Oryzias latipes: one gene and its partners. The protein of the gene in region 1 purifies or fractionates together with the protein of each later gene. This does not show direct contact. Links are inferred from orthologs where the notes say so. Each region holds a gene or a part of one and is shown in the gene's direction. Other genes may lie near its edges.

The links.
Region 2: the proteins of exoc6 (region 1) and exoc3 purify together in Homo sapiens (affinity purification with mass spectrometry; 6 studies listed by BioGRID and IntAct, counting the BioPlex papers as one, with this or other methods). This does not show direct contact. The link is inferred for Oryzias latipes from reciprocal best matches to the Homo sapiens genes EXOC6 and EXOC3.
Region 3: the proteins of exoc6 (region 1) and exoc1 purify together in Homo sapiens (affinity purification with mass spectrometry; 4 studies listed by BioGRID and IntAct, counting the BioPlex papers as one, with this or other methods). This does not show direct contact. The link is inferred for Oryzias latipes from reciprocal best matches to the Homo sapiens genes EXOC6 and EXOC1.
Region 4: the proteins of exoc6 (region 1) and exoc8 purify together in Homo sapiens (affinity purification with mass spectrometry; 4 studies listed by BioGRID and IntAct, counting the BioPlex papers as one, with this or other methods). This does not show direct contact. The link is inferred for Oryzias latipes from reciprocal best matches to the Homo sapiens genes EXOC6 and EXOC8.

What each region holds. Positions count from the first base shown.
Region 1 is NC_019877.2:23,115,098-23,120,270, forward strand, and holds the start of exoc6 (exocyst complex component 6), read left to right. Parts: upstream 1-1,913; 5' UTR 1,914-1,975; coding exon 1,976-2,115; exon of another isoform or gene 2,116-2,168; intron 2,169-3,248; exon of another isoform or gene 3,249-3,273; coding exon of another isoform or gene 3,274-3,371; exon of another isoform or gene 3,372-3,792; intron 3,793-5,173. UniProt on the Homo sapiens protein: Component of the exocyst complex involved in the docking of exocytic vesicles with fusion sites on the plasma membrane.
Region 2 is NC_019875.2:5,014,435-5,017,701, forward strand, and holds the end of exoc3 (exocyst complex component 3), read left to right. Parts: intron 1-486; coding exon 487-609; intron 610-693; coding exon 694-855; intron 856-961; coding exon 962-1,083; intron 1,084-1,394; coding exon 1,395-1,590; 3' UTR 1,591-2,548; downstream 2,549-3,267. UniProt on the Homo sapiens protein: Component of the exocyst complex involved in the docking of exocytic vesicles with fusion sites on the plasma membrane.
Region 3 is NC_019862.2:97,723-102,214, reverse strand, and holds part of exoc1 (exocyst complex component 1), read left to right. Parts: coding exon 1-70; intron 71-143; coding exon 144-371; intron 372-457; coding exon 458-590; intron 591-675; coding exon 676-785; intron 786-4,492.
Region 4 is NC_019882.2:17,524,834-17,529,848, reverse strand, and holds the start of exoc8 (exocyst complex component 8), read left to right. Parts: upstream 1-1,459; 5' UTR 1,460-1,586; coding exon 1,587-2,736; intron 2,737-4,759; coding exon 4,760-5,013; intron 5,014-5,015. Other genes in the region: sprtn (sprT-like domain-containing protein Spartan), read right to left, coding at 194-513. UniProt on the Homo sapiens protein: Component of the exocyst complex involved in the docking of exocytic vesicles with fusion sites on the plasma membrane.

The sequences.
Region 1 (5,173 bases):
GAAGCAGCTCTCATCTGGATTTCAGAACTGAGAGAGAAGAAATGACCAGTCTTTTAAAACAGAACCAAGTCCAGCTGACTGACATTTATGTGGTCCTGTTCATTCAGAATGTGTTCGGCTTCATGGTGTTTGGGTTTGAGGACGTGTAAAATCTCAGAAAACAAACAAACAAAATGGGAAAAAACGTATCAAGGAGAACAAAAGGTAAGAATGTAGCAGGAGCTGGGGCTTCCTGAAGGTGAATCTGATCCCTAAAACCACTGTTGTGTTTGCCCTGTTTGTGCTTTGAATGATGTAATAGGGGAAATCATAGCAGAGGCTTCATTTTCTATTGCCGCCTCCACACGGCCCACCCCATTTGCAGAACAATAGCAGGAAACTGAAAGTGATTGTGTCAGGCGGCCTCTTCCCCTGCTCAACTTCAGGAACGTCTGCATCAGCCGTTCTTCATCCACTGTTCTTAACACAGCACGGTCTTCACCTGGGACTTCATTACCAATGGAGTACTTCACCGCATGATAGATGAAAACAGCTTTTCAGCTTTTTGACTAAACAGACCGACATGTTTTTGCGAGGTTTGTGTTTAGGTTGACACAAAGTGTTCAGCAGGTTAATTCAGAACTGAATGCGTTTGATCATGTTTGACATAAAGAGGAGCAGCCCTTCAACCATTGACTGTATGTGAGAACTGGACTGAGTAATCATGTAAATGATAATCCAACTTTTCTTCCTATTTTTTTGACACATTTAGAGTTATTCAAGTTATAAACTGACCAATCAGATGCCTCAATAAAAGTCGGTGGTGCCTGCTGGCTCCCATGAACATTTGATTGACAGATTTCGTGTCGCCCTCTTTAAAGACCCACTCCAATGAAAATTGTGTTTTTGGTGTTTTAACGTGTTGCAGCATTTTTCTCACCATGGAGGACAAATACAAAAATTTGTTGACATTTGAAGAAGATTAAGACTGTGTTTCTGAGTATTGATCAAAGTCGTGATGGATTCCGAGCAGATAAAAACCTGGTGTTCGAAAAACGCTACAATTTACAATAAGTAAAATGGGTGAACCACAGTCTTCCTGCTCTGCTCCAATCTGATCATCCACTGTCAGACAAATAGATCCATGAACGTCTTTGTTTTCCCGGTCTGAGCTGGAATCTGGATCAGAACCGGGCGGATGGATAGATCTGATATTGCTGCCATTTTTGTTGCACCACTAATGTTAACTTGAGGGTGTGAGTGGCTGTAAGCTAGCAGGGGAGCATGTAAACAAAGGAATGATGGGATATCAGCTGTTCTTGCCCACAACTCAGAGGTGAATTTCTGATGAACTCCTGCCGCTCTACAGAAACTATGTCCTAGAAAACAACACAGGCTTTTGAATTTTGTCTAAAAGCGACATCATCTTATCTAAAAGACCACTGGGAACGCTTTTACAGTAGAGGAAAGATGATTATGGGACTTTAAAGTGGCAGGGATGTGGACGTCTAACAAGCTCACTCCTGATTGGCCAGAGTGGTTTCCATAGAAACGTTGACTCCGACCGTCTCAACTACATCTGGCTACGAAGTGGCAGCGTCTATATCATGAAACAATGGCGACTGAATTGACTTTGTTTTTGTTTTGGACAAACATCAAGTATGGTCTCTTCAAGTTGCTGTTGTGGATGTGCAACTAATGCACTTGATGCATTAGTTGCTGGGAGAGAAACCTAAAAGAAACCTCATCTGCACAGTCAGAGAGTTTTCTTGGTCCCTCCTGCATCTGCAGCCCGAGGACACAACGGCTGACTTTTATTGTGCTGGTTTCCAAAGTCCAGAGAATCACAAGATCTCTTTCCTGTTGCACCCTCTTTTTCTGCTGACCATAGCAGGTGGCCTGGAATTCACCTCCCAACCACACACACACACACACACACACACACACGGACCACAACGGGTCACATGCCGTCCTCATCACTTCAGTTGTGGTGAAGATGGACACCGACAGGCTCCACGCTGCTTTACCTGAGCCTCCAAGCCAAAATGAAGAAGACAATAAAGGTGAAGAGAAGATCTTCGGGAATATCTTTGCTGAGCTGGAGTCGGTGGACTTGCCTTTGGGAACCACTTTAAGGTGCTGACTTCAGAGATACTGCATGTCTGAATGCACGAAAGCAGCGGCTGATCCTGTGTTAATATCACAGAGAATTTTCGTCATGCGTGGAAATCTGTGAACTTACAAGGATAAATAACTTTTGTTTTGTAAGAGGCAAAATTAGCATTTTTTGTGCACCAATTAGTATTTCCTTGTCACATTTTTTAAGGCAAGGCAAGGCAAGTTTATTTGTATAGCACAATTCGTACACAAAGTAATTCAAAGTGCTTCACAAAACAGAAAAATGCATTAAAATCACAATACATCATAGAAATAATCAACATAAAATTTACTTTAAAAGAAAAGGAAGAAAAAAAAAAAGATTTAAAAAGAAAGGAAGGAAAGAAAGGTAGATAGGACCTTAAGCATTTTGTGTGCACAGTTTAGCCTTTTGTGTGCACAACTTAGCATTTCCAAAGGCACAATTTCATATTTTGTGTGCAAAAATGAGATTTTATACAAAAATGAGTATTATGTCGTCACATTTGTTTTAGCATTATGTGTGCACAAATTTGTATTTGTTGGCACGAATTAGTAGGAATTGATTGTGCAGAAATTAGTCATTTGTGCCCACAAAATACTAAATTGTATCAACAAAATGTTAATTTGTGCATACGAAATGATAATTAGTGTCAACATAATACAAATTGGTGCCTGCAAAATGTCTATTTGCAGCCACAAAATACTAATTTGTGACTAAAAAATGCAAAGTTGTGGGCCACAAATAATTAACTTCTTTTTTCTTCCTTCCAATTTTTGGAATGCCATGTCCAGGGCTCTGCACATTATTGTTAATATAAAGAAACTACAAGGCAGCATTAATTTGTAAAAGTAAGGTTAGTCTTGCAGACTACATGGAAGTCTGCTCAATGTTAGCAAATTTTATTTTTTAATACCTTTATCAATTAAAAAATTAACAAAGGCAGATAGACACTAATAACCGACATGATCAATGAGGAAACTCTTTTCAGAAAATTGTTCACATCATTTAATGACCCACACTAACAACTTAGGACAGTGGTCGCTGTATGAGCCGCGCAGGCGGCTGCGACCATCTGCTCTGCGCAGGTGCAGCTCTCCGGCGGCTGCACCTGCGCAGAGCAGCGGCCGCGCTGACCTCCGCTCTCCACAACAATCATGGCGGAGGCTGACATCCCGGAGTGTATAACGGAGCACGAGCGGATCTTACAGGAAATCGAGAGCACAGACACGGCCTGCGTGGGGCCCACTCTTCGGTAAGGATGATGCTCTGCTCCGTGAACCCGAGTCCCTGAAAACGACTGCATTTCGTCGCAGTTCGTTTATTTCCGCTGTAAACAGCAGAGCAGCCCGCGTCGGCTAACGCTAGCAGAGGTGGCTAGCATGTCAGCTGCAGGCTGATGCTAGCAGCAGCTAGCTGCGACTCGGCTTCTTTCATGGTCCAAACCTCCGCAGCAGAAGCATTCTCAGGGTTCTGTCTGCTTCCGGTCCTTTTAGGACAGGAGCGGCTGCGGATCCTCCCCGTTCGGCGCTTCTGCTGTCGGCGGCTAACGGCTAACTCAGCATTTCAGTGAACGAACCGAGCCCCCTGACCCCCCCGCCGCTCTAGTTCTGATGTTTTTGGTTATGTGGGGGAGGCAGGGGGGCACAGCTGACTGGCGTGGGTGTGTGTGTGTGTGGGGGGGGGGCTGGTCCGGCCACGGGAGGGGCCTGCATGAATGGCAGCAGCTGTCAATCACCCTGGCCTTTAAACGTAGCTTCAGGCGCTGGTTTCTGTCGGAGGACGTGAAGCATCCGAGCTGCGTTTGTTCGTTACTCCTCTTATTCCAGTTACTCCACACTGAGAGAGTTCAGCTCAGGTGTTTTTAGGTGGCGACAGGTGTAGCCTTCAAGTCCCACCCACCCGCAGTCATCCTTTGATCTATTTCCAGGTGTTCCAGCGGTCTTTTCATGAGGATGATGCTGTTTTTAGCCGAAATCTAGGACCTAGTTTCTGCAGAGCGGCAGGAGCTCTTTAGAAATTCACCTCTGAGTTGTGGGCGGGTCTGTTGGCGCAAAACAGCCCCGCCCCCTTCCGCTCCCTGTTGGGAGGGGAGGAGGGAGCGTTTTATGTCTACGTCACAACTACAGGTTTTCTGCTCCCGATTTGCAGCTATTTGAACAAAGAATACATAAAGGTTGAGCTGAATTTCGACTTGACTTATTGATTTATTTCAAGCAAAAATAGTAGAGTATAATAGAAAAAAATCACCGATTTATCAAGCTCATCTTTAGAAATAAAGAGCTGCATGGATTAATAAAACAAAGAAAAATGAGTCTGAATGAGAATCCTAAAAAAATAAACGCCACAATGTCATATTAAAAGCAGCAAAAGCACCATTGTCATTGGAGTGGGTCTGTAACAATCAAGGTCATGTTTGAAAAACGAACAAATTGTCAATTGAGTCATGAAAAAGATTTGTTTAGAAAAATCTTCTTCCAATTGTGATGTTATAGCAGATTTTCAATCATCCACATCAATTCTACATTTATTATAACTAGGCGCGGAATGGTTTTTGCGTTTTCCAATCCGACATCCCCCTAACACAAAATCCTACATGTAGACGGGAACTTGAAGATTGCTTTATCGTCAAACTAAACCTTTTGAAGGTTTTGAGCTTCCTGTCTAATTGCTGGAGCCTCAGGTAAAGAAAGCACCTCCATGCTGTGGTCAACATCATCAATTTCTTCCTAATAATGAAAGGTTCTTGAGAAAAACACAGTCTAGAAGGCTTTCAATTTAATTTCTGAATTTAGAACAATTATAATCAGCGCAAAGCAAAGCAGGCTGTTGAGGACTCCCCTTCATGTTAGTGGGAGATGTCTCCTTTAAAAGGAGGTTCCTCGCCGGGACGTTTGGGAAAGTTGTTTTCTTGACCTTCAACGTCGGATCGTGCTGTTCAGTCGACACCAGAATCTCTGGTGGCTTCAAACTTTTCAGTCGGGGGACAGTTCAGCTGCTTTAATCTGTGGTTTCAGATGAAACTGCTGGTCTTCTGTAAACCTGGTGTAACAGCAG
Region 2 (3,267 bases), on another chromosome or scaffold:
TATATGATCATATATATGGATATATTTTACTCTGACAGGCTAAAGAAAAGCACGATACAGGCCTTTTAACTCATCTTTTTCCTCGTCCTCATCCTTTTCTTTGGCTCCTCCTCCTCTGAGCATGTCTGAATCTGGTTTCACATCCAATCATCTTGTTCTCCTGATGCTCTTATTTTCTCCGTCCTCATTTGTGCTTAAGAGAACTTCATCATCTCCATTTCTGCTGAACACACTTGATCCAGATAGTTAGCTGCAGGCTGTGCAGGGAGGGCTGGGTAACAGAAGTGGATCTGGAGGACCAGGATTCAGCAGTCCTAGCCTTCATCCCTCTTTGTTCCTCTTCACTTCTTTCCTCCCAAAACTCTCTTTGTTTACTCGGACATGTCAAACGTTAGAAGTATGAGGGCTACGGGGCAGAGAAACGCCTGAGACCTATGTGGTCAGAGCAGTCCCGGTCCACTAAACTGTTCCGGTTCTGTTGAACAGCATCACCTGAACGAGCTCCTGACCCGGAAGTGGCTGAGCGGCTCTCATGCTGTGGACACCATCTGTGTGACGGTGGAGGACTATTTCAACGACTTCAATAAAATCAAAAAGCCCTTCAACCAGGTACAGTGAGACCGGGTTTTAAAAACGCAGACCCCCCTCCTGCAGGAGACTGTTAGCATGGCTGCCGCCTGCGTTTTTCTGCAGGAGATGACGAAGGAGGCGCTGCGGAGGGTGGTGGTGGAGTACATCAAAGCAGTGATGCAGAAGAGGATGAGCTTCAAAAACGCTGATGAGAGGAGGGAGGGCGCAGAGAGGATGATCAGGGAAGCCGACCAGTTCAGTTTCCTCTTCAGGAAGCTGGCGGCGGTGAGTTTCTCTCTTTCACTGCACCGGTCGCACTTAGGAGCCACCAAACCCCCACCCCCCCACCCCCCAGAGCGCTGCACAGTTGGTCAACTTCTGCCTGCTGCAGGGCGAAGACACAGAGCGTCTGTGCGGCGCCATCACCGCCATCGCTGAGGTGTTTAAGCTGACCGATCCCACGCTCCTGTTCCTGGAAGTCACCACGCTGGTGTCCAAATACCCCGATATCAGGTGAGGTGTGACACAGCAGAGGCATCACTCCTGAAGGCACAGTGTGACAATGATGCAGTTATTGAGAGCAAAAATGACCATTATGTCAAGTTTGACTATAGATCAGTGGAAATTTTCAATATAAATACATATGCACACAAATTGTCTCCAAACATGACATTCCTCCAGCTTTAAGGGTTCATTTCAGTTGAATTTGGTCAGTCTGAGTTGATCATTCAGAAATGAAGCCTGTGTGTGTGCGCCACCTGCAGCAGTTGTGTTGGGCAGGTGAGGCAGCTCTTCTTCTTCTTCTTCTGTCCCCTCTGCTGCAGGGAGGACCACATCCAGGCGCTGCTCACCGTTCGAGGCGACGCCAGCAGAGAGATGCGGCAGATGATCATCGGGACTCTGAGCGAGAACAAGGTGGCCAGCTCTGCCGCTTCGCAGCCCATCTTCAGAGACATTCCTGTCCCCACCATGTCCATGACCTCCATGACCTCCATGGCAACTTCAAAGCTGCTCAAATAAAGCGGGAACCACCTCTTGAATCTTCTCCCTCCACATTTGATTTCAGGTTTTTCTTCTCATTTGTGCTTCAGCATCTATAAACCCAGAGCTGTAAACATAACTGCAGGGTTTCAGGTTTCAGATGACTGAGCTGCAGGTAGGACGTTTCAAAGGTTCGGTCCTGCTTGTGACCATGCCCAATGTCATTTTCTCATGGTGAAGTGACTGAAGCAAGCCCCCATCTGAGGCACCATTGCCTAAGCTCCGGTTCAGTCTACAGCAGCTTGACTCTTTCAGTTTTTGAATGTTTGGTTTGATCCGGTAAAGTCCATCACAGGGTTTTTGACCGCCATTTTTTATTAATTTCAATGTTCGTTATGAAGAAACGGGGAATGTTTACACTAATCTTCCGCTGATGAGGGATTGAAACATTTTCAGTTCAAAGGAAGATGCAGTGTAGATGCATGATGACCACTGGACAAACAGAAAAACCTGGATTGGTGGGGGCAGCATGATGATAAGGGGGGCATCAGTGGAGATGGGATATTGTCACTACAAACAGATGTCAGGACCTAAAAACTCCACAGGCTGGGACTGTATCCTCAAGATGCAACATGCACCCAAAAAAAAAACTACACGCGTGGCTTAATTTTTGACTTAAAAATATAATTATTTTATCAAATACAGTGTCACATATTTGTAAGATTTTTAAAAAACTGAAAATAAATGTGTGCCTCTTTTCTTTTGAAGTTTAAATATCCAAAAATGTTAATGTCTAGTTATATTTTTGCTTTGTCAGTTTGGGTTTCACAAAACGACATGTCATTGCATAAACATTTGTCACTTTCTTAGACTTAAGTAACTTAATACGGTTACTGACTTTGAAATCACTTGAATTAATGAGTTGGGTGGTAATTTAAAAACAATGTAAAATACTTGGGATGTTTGATTGCAAAATAAAAATTAGATTGAAAATTGAGTTTCTATGACTAAGTTGTTTATTACCGACAACCCGCTGTTTTTAAGCAGAAATGTCGCTGTTTAAAGGTGGTGTGTCACCGAGTCTCCGGTAGGGGGCAGCAGAGCCCAGCGCGGACGTGACTGCAGAGAAGAAGAAGAACAAGGGAGCCCTGGACGCCGTGTTTTATTTGGATCGTCTGCAGATTTGTGGACATGACTGACCCAGTTCGGCTTTAGTAGCAGTTCGGACCCAAACATTAACCGTCCGTCACATCAGCATCGCCTTTCGCCGCTGACAGACCGGGTATGGACTTTTGACAGCGTTTCATGCTAACTCGTGCTGAGCTGTGCTAAGCTAATTTTGCGGGCGGAGGACGAGAACCGCGGCAGAGACCAGAACCGATCTCAGATCTGGTTTCTGACGCCAACGGCCGTTTGCTCGGTCAAGGTGAGAGACCTGAGACCAGGGACCCGTTTTGAGTCCAGGGACCAGATCTCAGACCAGAGGCCAGAACAGGAACCAGCTCTGAGTTTAGACAAAGATCTGAGACCAAGCAGATCCCAGTCCAGGGGCCAGAGTCCGGTCTGATTAGCGACAGGTCTTCCTCAGAGCGTCGCTGCTGCTTTGGCCCCAGCTCAGACTAGTAAACAGGTTCTCCTGATCCCGGATCAGGCCCAGCAGGCTGTCAGGAAGCTGACCACCAGCGTCCTTGGCCTCCTCCTGCAGGACCTGGTCTG
Region 3 (4,492 bases), on another chromosome or scaffold:
CGAGTATGCCATCTCTAACGCTGAGGCTTTTGCAGAAAAGCTCTTCAAGGAACTGCAGGTCTTAGATGGGGTGAGTAATACAACCAACTATTTCAGAGCCATATTTATCATCTTTGTCAATATTCATCTTCTGTCTCTTTTAGGCCAACATTCAGTCCATCATGGCGTCAGAGAAGCAGGTGAATATCCTGATGCAGCTGCTAGATGAGGCACTTGGAGAGGTGGACACCATAGAGGGGAAACTGAGTAGCTATGAGGAAATGCTTCAGAGCGTCAAGGAGCAGATGGACCAGATCTCTCAGAGCAACCGCCTAATTCAAATCAGCAACACTAACAACGGCAAACTTCTGGATGAGATCCAGTTCTTAGTGGTAACAAATTCTTTGAATCAGTCCAGAGGTGTCAGAGAATTGAGCTTGAGTTTCTCAGATGGGCTTTGACTCACTTTTTCATGCAGAATTACATGGACTTGTCTAAGGGACACATCAGAGCTCTGCAGGATGGGGACCTCACCTCCTCTAAAGGAATTGAGGCCTGCATCAACGCCTCTGAAGCCCTTCTGCAGTGCATGAATGTTGCCCTCCGACCAGGTAAATTTACATGAAGCCTTGTTATCGTGATCGTCTGTTTTTTGTCTTCGTTTGAATGGAAAGTTGTGCACCTTTCTCTGTTCAGGCCATGAAAAGCTGTTGTCTGTGAAACAACAGCAGCAGATGTTTACCGATCTGAGGGACACATTTGCCCGCCGCCTCACCAATCACCTCAACAACGTGTTTGTCCACCAGGTAACACACTCGCCATTATTAGAACTTCTTTACCAGTACTTCTGCTGAGGTTTACAAAAAAAGGAAGAATACAGTCAGAGACATCTAAAAGCTGCTATGAGATGTGGATTTAATGTTGTATTTCCATGTAAAAAAAATTCAAGTACGAACTTTTCTTTTTAAAATAATCATGGAGGAAATACTTTTTTGATACCTTGCTGATTTTGAAGGTTTGCTTACTTAAAAATAGACAGCCTGTCATCCTAATGATAGGTTCATTTGAACAGTGAGAAATTGAAAATGTCTTTAATGAATTAATATGCATTTATTTGCATTTCACTGAGGGAAATAAGTACGGTATTTGATGCCCAAGTAACCATTAAGAGTTCTGTTTCGCACAGACCAATTAGATTCGCTTAATCAACCTGTTACCTGAATTGAAGACGCCTGTCCACAGAATCAGTCCATTAGTCAGACTCCAAACTCTCCAACATGGGAAACACTAAAGAGCTTTCAGTGGATTAAAGGGCGACGATTGTACTCTTGCACAAGACCAGAATGATTTGCAGAACCATCAGCAAGAAGCTGGGGGTTAAGGTGACAACTGCAATTGGTATAAAATACATGAACATGACCATCAATCCACCTACAGTCAGGACCATAAATATGTTGACATAGATGTGAAAAACTAAAGCATTTTCTAAACACAATCCCTTCATTTCATGGGCTGGTAAGTAATTGGACAAATTAAATAACTGAACAACAAAATGGTCATTACTCACTTCCCATGAGTCTTGGGGGCTTAAGGTGGGGCTATCCCTCAGGTCGCCACACTGTGTTGTAGATTGAGGATGTACAGTGAGGTCAATAAGTATTTGATCACCCTGTGATTTAGCAAGTTCTCCCTCTTAGAAAACATGGAGGGGTCTAAAATTTTCATCATAGGTGCATTTCCACAGTGAGAGACAGAATCTGAAGAAACATTCAGAAATCACGTTGTATGATTTTTTTTTAAACGATTTATTTGTATATTACTGTGAAAAATAAGTATTTGATCACTTGATTATCAGATAGATTTCTGATCAGCAAAGACCTGCTGTTCTGCTTTTAAATAGTCCAACTCCACTCTGCTCATGATTCTAAATTAGTGGCACCTGTTTGAGGTGGTTAGCTTGCATAAAGGCACCTGTGCCCCCCCCCACAATCAGTCAGAAGTCTAACTATCAACATGGGCAAAACCAAAGAGCTGTCATAAGACGCAAGAGATAAAATTGTAGACCTTCATAAAGCTGGAAGTGGCTACGGGGCAATTGCCAAGCAGCTTGGTGAGAAAAGAACAACTGTTGGAGCAATTGTCAGAAAATGGAAGAGGCTAATGATGACTGTCAATGTCCCTCGGACTGGGGCCCCTTGCAAGATCTCACCTTGTGGGGTATCGATGATGCTAAGGAAGGGGAAGAATCAGCCCAGGACTACACAGGAGGAGCTGGTCAATGACCTGAAGAGAGGTGGGACCACCGTTTCCAAGGCTACTATAAGTAATACATTAAAACGTCATGGTTTAAAATCATGTATCGCATGGAAGGTTCCCCTGCTGAAGTCAGCCCATGTCAAGCCCCGTCTGAAGTTTGCCAATGACCATCTTGATGATCCAGAGGAGTCATGGGAGAAAGTCTTGTGGTCAGTAAGAAGCCTTGTAAGAAGCATATCAAAATAGAACTTTTTGGTCTTAACTCCATTCGGCGTGTTTGGAGGAGAAAGGAGGAGCATCATCCCAAGAACACTATACCTACAGTGAAGCACGGGGGTGGAAGTATCATCTGCACAGGGGACAGGACGACTGCACTGTGTGAAGGAGAGGATGAACTGGGCTCTGTATTGTGAGATATTGAGAAAAAAGCTCCTTACCTCAGTCAGAGCGTTGTAGATGGGTCATGGCTGGGTCTTTCAGAATGACAATGACCCGAAGCACACAGCCAAGAAAACCAAGGAGTGGCTCCGTAAGAAGCATATTAAGGTTCTGGAGTGGCTTAGCCAGTCTCCAGACCTAAATCCAATAGAGAACCTTTGGAGGGAGCTGAAACTCCGTGTTGCTCTGCGACAGCCCCGAACCCTGACAGATCTAGAGAAGATCTGTGTGGAGGAGTGGGCCAAAATCCCTGCTGCAGTGTGTAGAAACCTAGTGAAGAACTACAGGAACCGTTTGACCTCTGTAATTGTTAACAAAGGCTTCTGTACCAAATATTAAAGTTGTTTAACCCAAGTGATCAAATACTTATTTGTCACAGTAATGTACAAATAAATTGTTTAAAAAAATTGTACAACATGATTTCTGAATGTTTTTTCAGATTCTGTCTCTCACTGTGGAAATGCACCTATGATAAAAATTTTAGACCCCTCCATGTTTTCTGGGAGAACGTGGGAGAACTTTCTAAATCACAGGGTAATCAAATACTTATTGACCTCACTGTATATGTGCTGAAACCGCGTGCATGTTTAAAAAAGAGGAGGGAGCTGCAACGGAAGGAGGGGAGAACGGGAGAGCAGCTCCTATCTCCTTCCGCGGCAGCAATATGGTAGTAAAGGGGCTGGTTAATAAAACATACCAGTAAAAGAGAGCAGTAGTGACTTTAAAGCGCCCCTATCAGCGCGGCATGCGCTAGAAGTTTCCTTCCACAACAGTGTCACACCGTTGCTCCGCGGACGCCTCTGCGCTCCGCCCTTGCCCCGCGGGCTCCTTGTCTTTCCCTTCCTATCTTCTCCGACACCCCTCGCGAGGGGGGCACCAGGGAAGAGCACTTCGTGCCCCCTGACGTCCAGTCCCTGCACGCGGGGCGCGGCTGCTGGTGGACGGAGCGAACCGTGTCTCTGAGCAGCGCAGCCGGACTTAATTTTTTGTGTTCGAGGGGCGGGGAGGATGCTTTGTTACGGGAGGGAGGCTACAGACTGCCATCTGTCCCGCAGCACTATGTGAACGAGCAGCCGAATTCAGGAGAACCACGTCTCCATCTCACACAGCGGCTTTTTGGCAGTGTGTGAGCTCTTCAAAGCAAAATGCCGCTCAGTCCTTAGAAACCGTTCAAACACGTGGATTTGTGTTTCTAGTCGTGTCCTGACAAAAGAAAGGCTTATGTTATTCCCACATATTTACGTTCAGCCAAGCTGCAGATTGTGGCATTTCCTGCATCAATTTTATGTTCATCCAGGCTAAATGTTGTTGTTAGCGCATGTTAGCCTTCACCTAACCATTCTTCCGGTTTCGTTCTGCCGCAAAAAAGCACTGACCACACGGATAAAAAATAAAATGATGAGCTAACAGGCGCTTCATAATAACCATAACAATAATATAAGCATGCGGTGGGGGGGTTCATATTACACCTGAGCCGGGGGTGTTCGTGTCCCTGGGGGGTGGGTCCTGGTCCTTGCCCCTGGGCGCTGGGCCCCGCCAAACTTCCAACATGGCCGAGCCTGGTCGGGCCATATTTATAACATCCCTTGTGGGCCGCCCTTTTTTCCCCGGGGTTCCCCCCTCCTGGGCGGGGGCGGCGGGCCCCTGCCTTGCTCCTACCTGGACCAACCGTGGGCCGGGTGGGTGGCTGCCTGGAGTGCGGAGCGGGTCTCCCTTGGGGGGTCCTGGCTCGTACCTGGGGTCGGGGCGGGGGGATGCCCGGAACTCCTGGGTGGTGGTGGGGTGCTCGTCTGGGGCTGTGGGCGTCCCTCTCCGGTGG
Region 4 (5,015 bases), on another chromosome or scaffold:
TTGAGCTTTTTCTTCAAAATCTGTCCACTTTATTTGAGAAAAAAAAATTTTTTGCTTTCTCTAAAGCTTTTATTTCCCTGTTTCAACGTTTCCATTAAAAATCCATTGTGTTTTAGTTTTGATCTAAATCGGTGAGGTCAGTTTAGGCTCCGAAACAGCTTAAACCAAATGTCCAAAGTCAGAATAGACTCACAGGGTCATCCTGGGACTCCACTTGACCTCCACTCCGCTGAGTTTGCCCCAGAAGAACATGTCATTGAACTCCAAAAACATGGCTCTAACATCAGGGCTGGGATCCAGCATCTCCCAGGAATCATCCACGATGCTTAGCGGCCGCTCAACGCCGGAAGTTGGCTTTCTATCCCTGGCCCCACCGGCAAGCTCCACTTTCCGCTTTTTGCTGTTGTTTCCGAACTCCCCTTCGTTAAAACTTAGAGATGAAACCAGTGAAGATTCATATTCATGGTCAAACTGCTCCTGTAGCTGAACGGCGAGCAGAAAGTCCTCGTCCATCACTGCTGCTATTTTGCCATTTAGCTTTGGCTAACCCGAACTTCTAAAAACCAATCAGTGCGCCAGTTGTACTACATTTAGCAGTGTAAACTCATAAAGAAAAAAACGAATTTATGTCATCATTTTTTCGCAAAACGGACGCTTAAACATAAAAACGGAAACAATTTAATAAAAAAGAGTAAGAAGCTGGAGCCAACAACTTCCTGTCATCTTCCACAAACCTTCCGGTAATGTTTTATTTTATTTTTTTCACAATAAAACATATTAAAGTTTTTGTTCAAAGTATTTTGAATATCTAAACGTAGGCACGTATGTGTTTTCTTAGTATATTATTAATTGAAATTGAAAGCCGCGTAGCTTTTAAGGAAATTGTTTTTGCATCAATGCAATTTTACTCTGTCTTTTGGTCTAACCTGCTGTCAAGTTCCGCGAAGTCCCGTACGTGATTGTTTTTCAAATTAAAAAAATGAGTTATTAAAGGCGTTTTGGTCCCAAATATGGTTACTTAATCATTTTTGTCTATTATAATGATATGTTTTAAAATTAATTGTCTAAACTAAAACACTGTGATATATATATAACATGGGCACTTTTTTATGCTCAGTATATCAATATATATAGTAAAAAGAAAAATTCAATAGTTTAATTTGGGTAGCTTTGACGGTGATCTTTTTTTTATAATTCAATGTAATTATTTTGTATGCTTTGGTTACCACTTCCGGTAAAGATTGCAAGCATCGCTAGCACAAATATTAGCGATGGGTTCTGGGAACTTTAGTAAACATATATCTGATATTTAAATTAAATTATTCAATTGTTACAATTGAATAAAGTTTACGAATCATAATCAAAAATTTATATTATCTTATGCCTAAAGATAATCAAATAATTTTTTTACGATTTTATTTTTAAACTTTTTCTGATCACGTGACGTTCGGGTGTTGCTGCTTACAGCTTCCTGTTGGAGTGAAAGCGGATGTAAAAGGAGCTTCGATGCACTCGTCTTGTTCGTACATTTCATAGCCATTTTACTAATATTTCGCGTTCGTAAATAATTGCAAACACAGCTAAAGATGTCGGAAACAGGGAACCGGCTGCGGAAACTTCTCGAATCTCCCAATTTCGATCCGCAAACGTACGTCAAACAGCTGTCACAGCAGTCCGACGGCGACAGGGATCTGCAGGAGCATCGGCAAAAAATCCAAAACCTGGCCGACGAAACGGCCCAGAATTTGAAGAAAAATGTCTATAAGAACTACAGGCAGTTCATTGAAACCGCCAAAGAGATTTCCTACCTGGAGAGCGAGATGTACCAGCTGAGCCACATCCTGACGGAGCAGAAGAGCATCATGGAGAGCATCACCCAGGCCTTGCTGTCCACAGACAAGGATGAGACCTCCAAGGAGATGCAGGCTGCTTTCCCCAAAGAGACGGAGGAGGTGAAGCAGAGGGCGCTCACCTCTCTGCTGGAGAAAGTCGAAGGAGCCAAGAACATCATGGACATCCCGGGGAGGCACCTAGTCTACAACGGAGACCTTTTTGAGTTTGACGTGGACAACATGTCCCCCATCCAGAAGGTCCATGCTTTCCTCATGAACGACTGTCTGCTGATCGCCACCTGGCTGCCCAACCGCAGAGGCACCGTGAAGTACAAATACAGCGACCTGTACGACCTGGAGAGCTTCGCCGTGGTCAACGTCAAGGACAATCCCCCCATGAAGGACATGTTCAAGATCCTCATGTTCCCGGACAGCCGCATCTTCCAGGCAGAGAACAGCAAGGTCAAGAAGGAGTGGCTGGAGATCCTTGATGAAACCAAAAAGAACAAGGTGTCTAAGGACAGACACAAGAAGGAAGAGGAGGCTCCCACGTCCCCCATCAGATCTGAGGTGTCCACCAACCCTTTCGACCTGGAGGACGAGGACCCAGCAGATGCAGAGGAAAGCGCAGAACTTGGTATCGAGTGGATTCAGGAGCTCCCCGAGGACCTGGACGTGTGCATTGCCCAGAGGGACTTTGAGGGAGCCGTGGACCTGCTGGACAAACTGAACGAGTACCTGAAGGACCAGCCCTCCACTCAGAAGGTCAAGGAGTTGAGGTCCAAGGTGGACGAGCGGGTGCGACAGCTGACTGAGGTGCTGGTGTTCGAGCTGTCTCCGGATCGGTCACTCCGTGGTGGACCTAAAGCGACCCGACGTGCCGTGTCCCAGCTCATCAGACTAGGTCCTGGTTTGGTTCTTTTCTTAATTTCCAGAGAAACAGAGAAGAGATGATGTTTGACTAACTTCCAAAACATTTTCTTTAGTCCGTTAAAGCCAAAAAAAAGGCAACATTTTTAATTCAAACTTTTATTTAGGAGCATCAATGTCGTTTGTTTTGCAAAAAAAAAAAAAAGTGTTCAAAGCCCACTCTTCTGGATCTGTCAGGCGGGGAAGTGATGTTGAAAAAAAGTTTCTTTTAATTTAATTTTAGGTTTTGAAGGTCAACATTTTAAGGGACCAACCAGTGTAATCCTGCTTTACTCCTGTTTGGGGTAATGGGGTCACTGGAGCTAAACCAACAACTCTTCAGTGAAGGCGGGGTTCGCCCTGGACAGTTCGCCTTCCATCACAGGGCCACACAGAGACAAACAAGTTCACACATTCACACCTAAAGGTCAATTCAGAGTCACTAAAGCTTTAGCCACATGGACCTGTACGGGGGCTGACCTGTACAGGTGCCCTGGGTTTTTGGGTTGTCCAGGTCTGTGGAGGGGAGTAGAAAGTAGACCGGCCAGTTTAAGGCGCATCTTAACAGGAGCACAGGTGTGTCTTGCAGTTCCCTTGAAAATGGAACCTACCATTGTGTATGGTAAGCATATTGTGAAGTATTTGTAAGGCTAACATAAGTTACACGCACTGATAACATACGGGTGATGTTGCCGAACACCGCCCAAACTGCCACACTGTAGTCGTTATTAACCCTTGTGCTATCCAAGGCACTTTAACATTGGGAGTTGGGTCATCTAGACCCACTAGACAGTTCGCTGAACCTTTTTTCTTCAATGATTTGTGATCTTCACTGGTGTCCATGGATTACATGAAATCTTTCCACCTTTATCCACCTTTGTCATGGTAGGGAGAACATGTCAATGTAAGGGTGGGGTCATCTAAGACAGCACAAGGGTTAATGAGTGAGTACTGGTTCCTTACTGACTCCAAGCAAATGCTGACATGTAAGTGTCCGTAGGACAGGACACTCACACAAACTACACCATTATCATCAAATTTCTAATGCTACGTTAACACCAGGCTTGGAAATGCGTGTTTGAGTGACCACTTTCAATGAAAATTCTATGTAAGTGCTCACGTAAAAGCCCGTTTTGGGCCTCCGCGTTCAAAGCTCTCTCGTTGACGCGTCTCTACGCAGGTTTTTAGGTCAGTTTTCAGGCTCTACGTACAAAACACGCAATCGAACGTGTGCTGAAAGTTTAACTAGTTGTACTTTGACCAATCAAGGACTCTGATTTGGTAGTGAGGTATGAGTAGCATCCTTTTCAAAACACTGAATCTTGGAGGTGAAATACTAATTGCGGTTTGTGCCCGGCCAAAATTCTATGACACCAAGGCCTTCCTTTATCAAAATAGAGCTGTGAAAGAAAAAGCCTGGAGCAAGATTGGCACCGCTTCAACATTTCGCAGGAAGCATCTTATAACTGTGCGCTACTATCGGGTAGCGACAGTCCAGTATGAGCACGTATGCTGAAAGTGCGTTCAAGAACCCGCGTTCAGCGCCATGCATGCCCAGTGTGGAGTTAGCATAACAGTCAGGCTACACAGAAGGAGTGCGCACTTATCACTTGAACAGCACCGTGCGCAGGATTTGGGGGGGTAAAGAAAACTATAAAATACGTAGAACATGGCTGCGTCTCACCTACTTCACCCTTCCTTTCCCTTATGTTGTATAAGTATTCATTACCACCTGTTGCCTGCAGCATTCCCAAAGACAAAATGTGCAAGAGCACTTGGCTGTACAGCCCCACACAGGTTTGCCTATTTTTCTACCACAGGGCAGTTGTGTCCAAGGCTTTACCACCTGTGTGTATTACTGCAAAAACATGGACTCCATTTTGAGTAGATATCTATTTTTCAAGTCTATTGAAACCCGATTTTTATGGTTATTACTTTTTTTACATAACTATTGATGTAACCTAAAGAAAAGTGGATTTTGAGTCACTAAAATAGGAATCGATTTATGCCTATTACAGGCCAGTCCACCAAAGCCTGCGAACTGTTTCTGAAAAACCGAGCCGCGGCAGTCCAGACGGCCATCCGGCAGCTTCGCATCGAGGGAGCAACGTTGCTCTACATCCACAAACTCTGCAACATCTTCTTCACCAGTTTGCTGGAAACCGCCAAAGAGTTTGAGATGGACTTTGCTGGGAACACGGGTTGCTACTCTGCCTTTGTCGTCTGGTCCAGATCTGCCATGAAGATGTTTGTTGACGCTTTCAGCAAACAGGT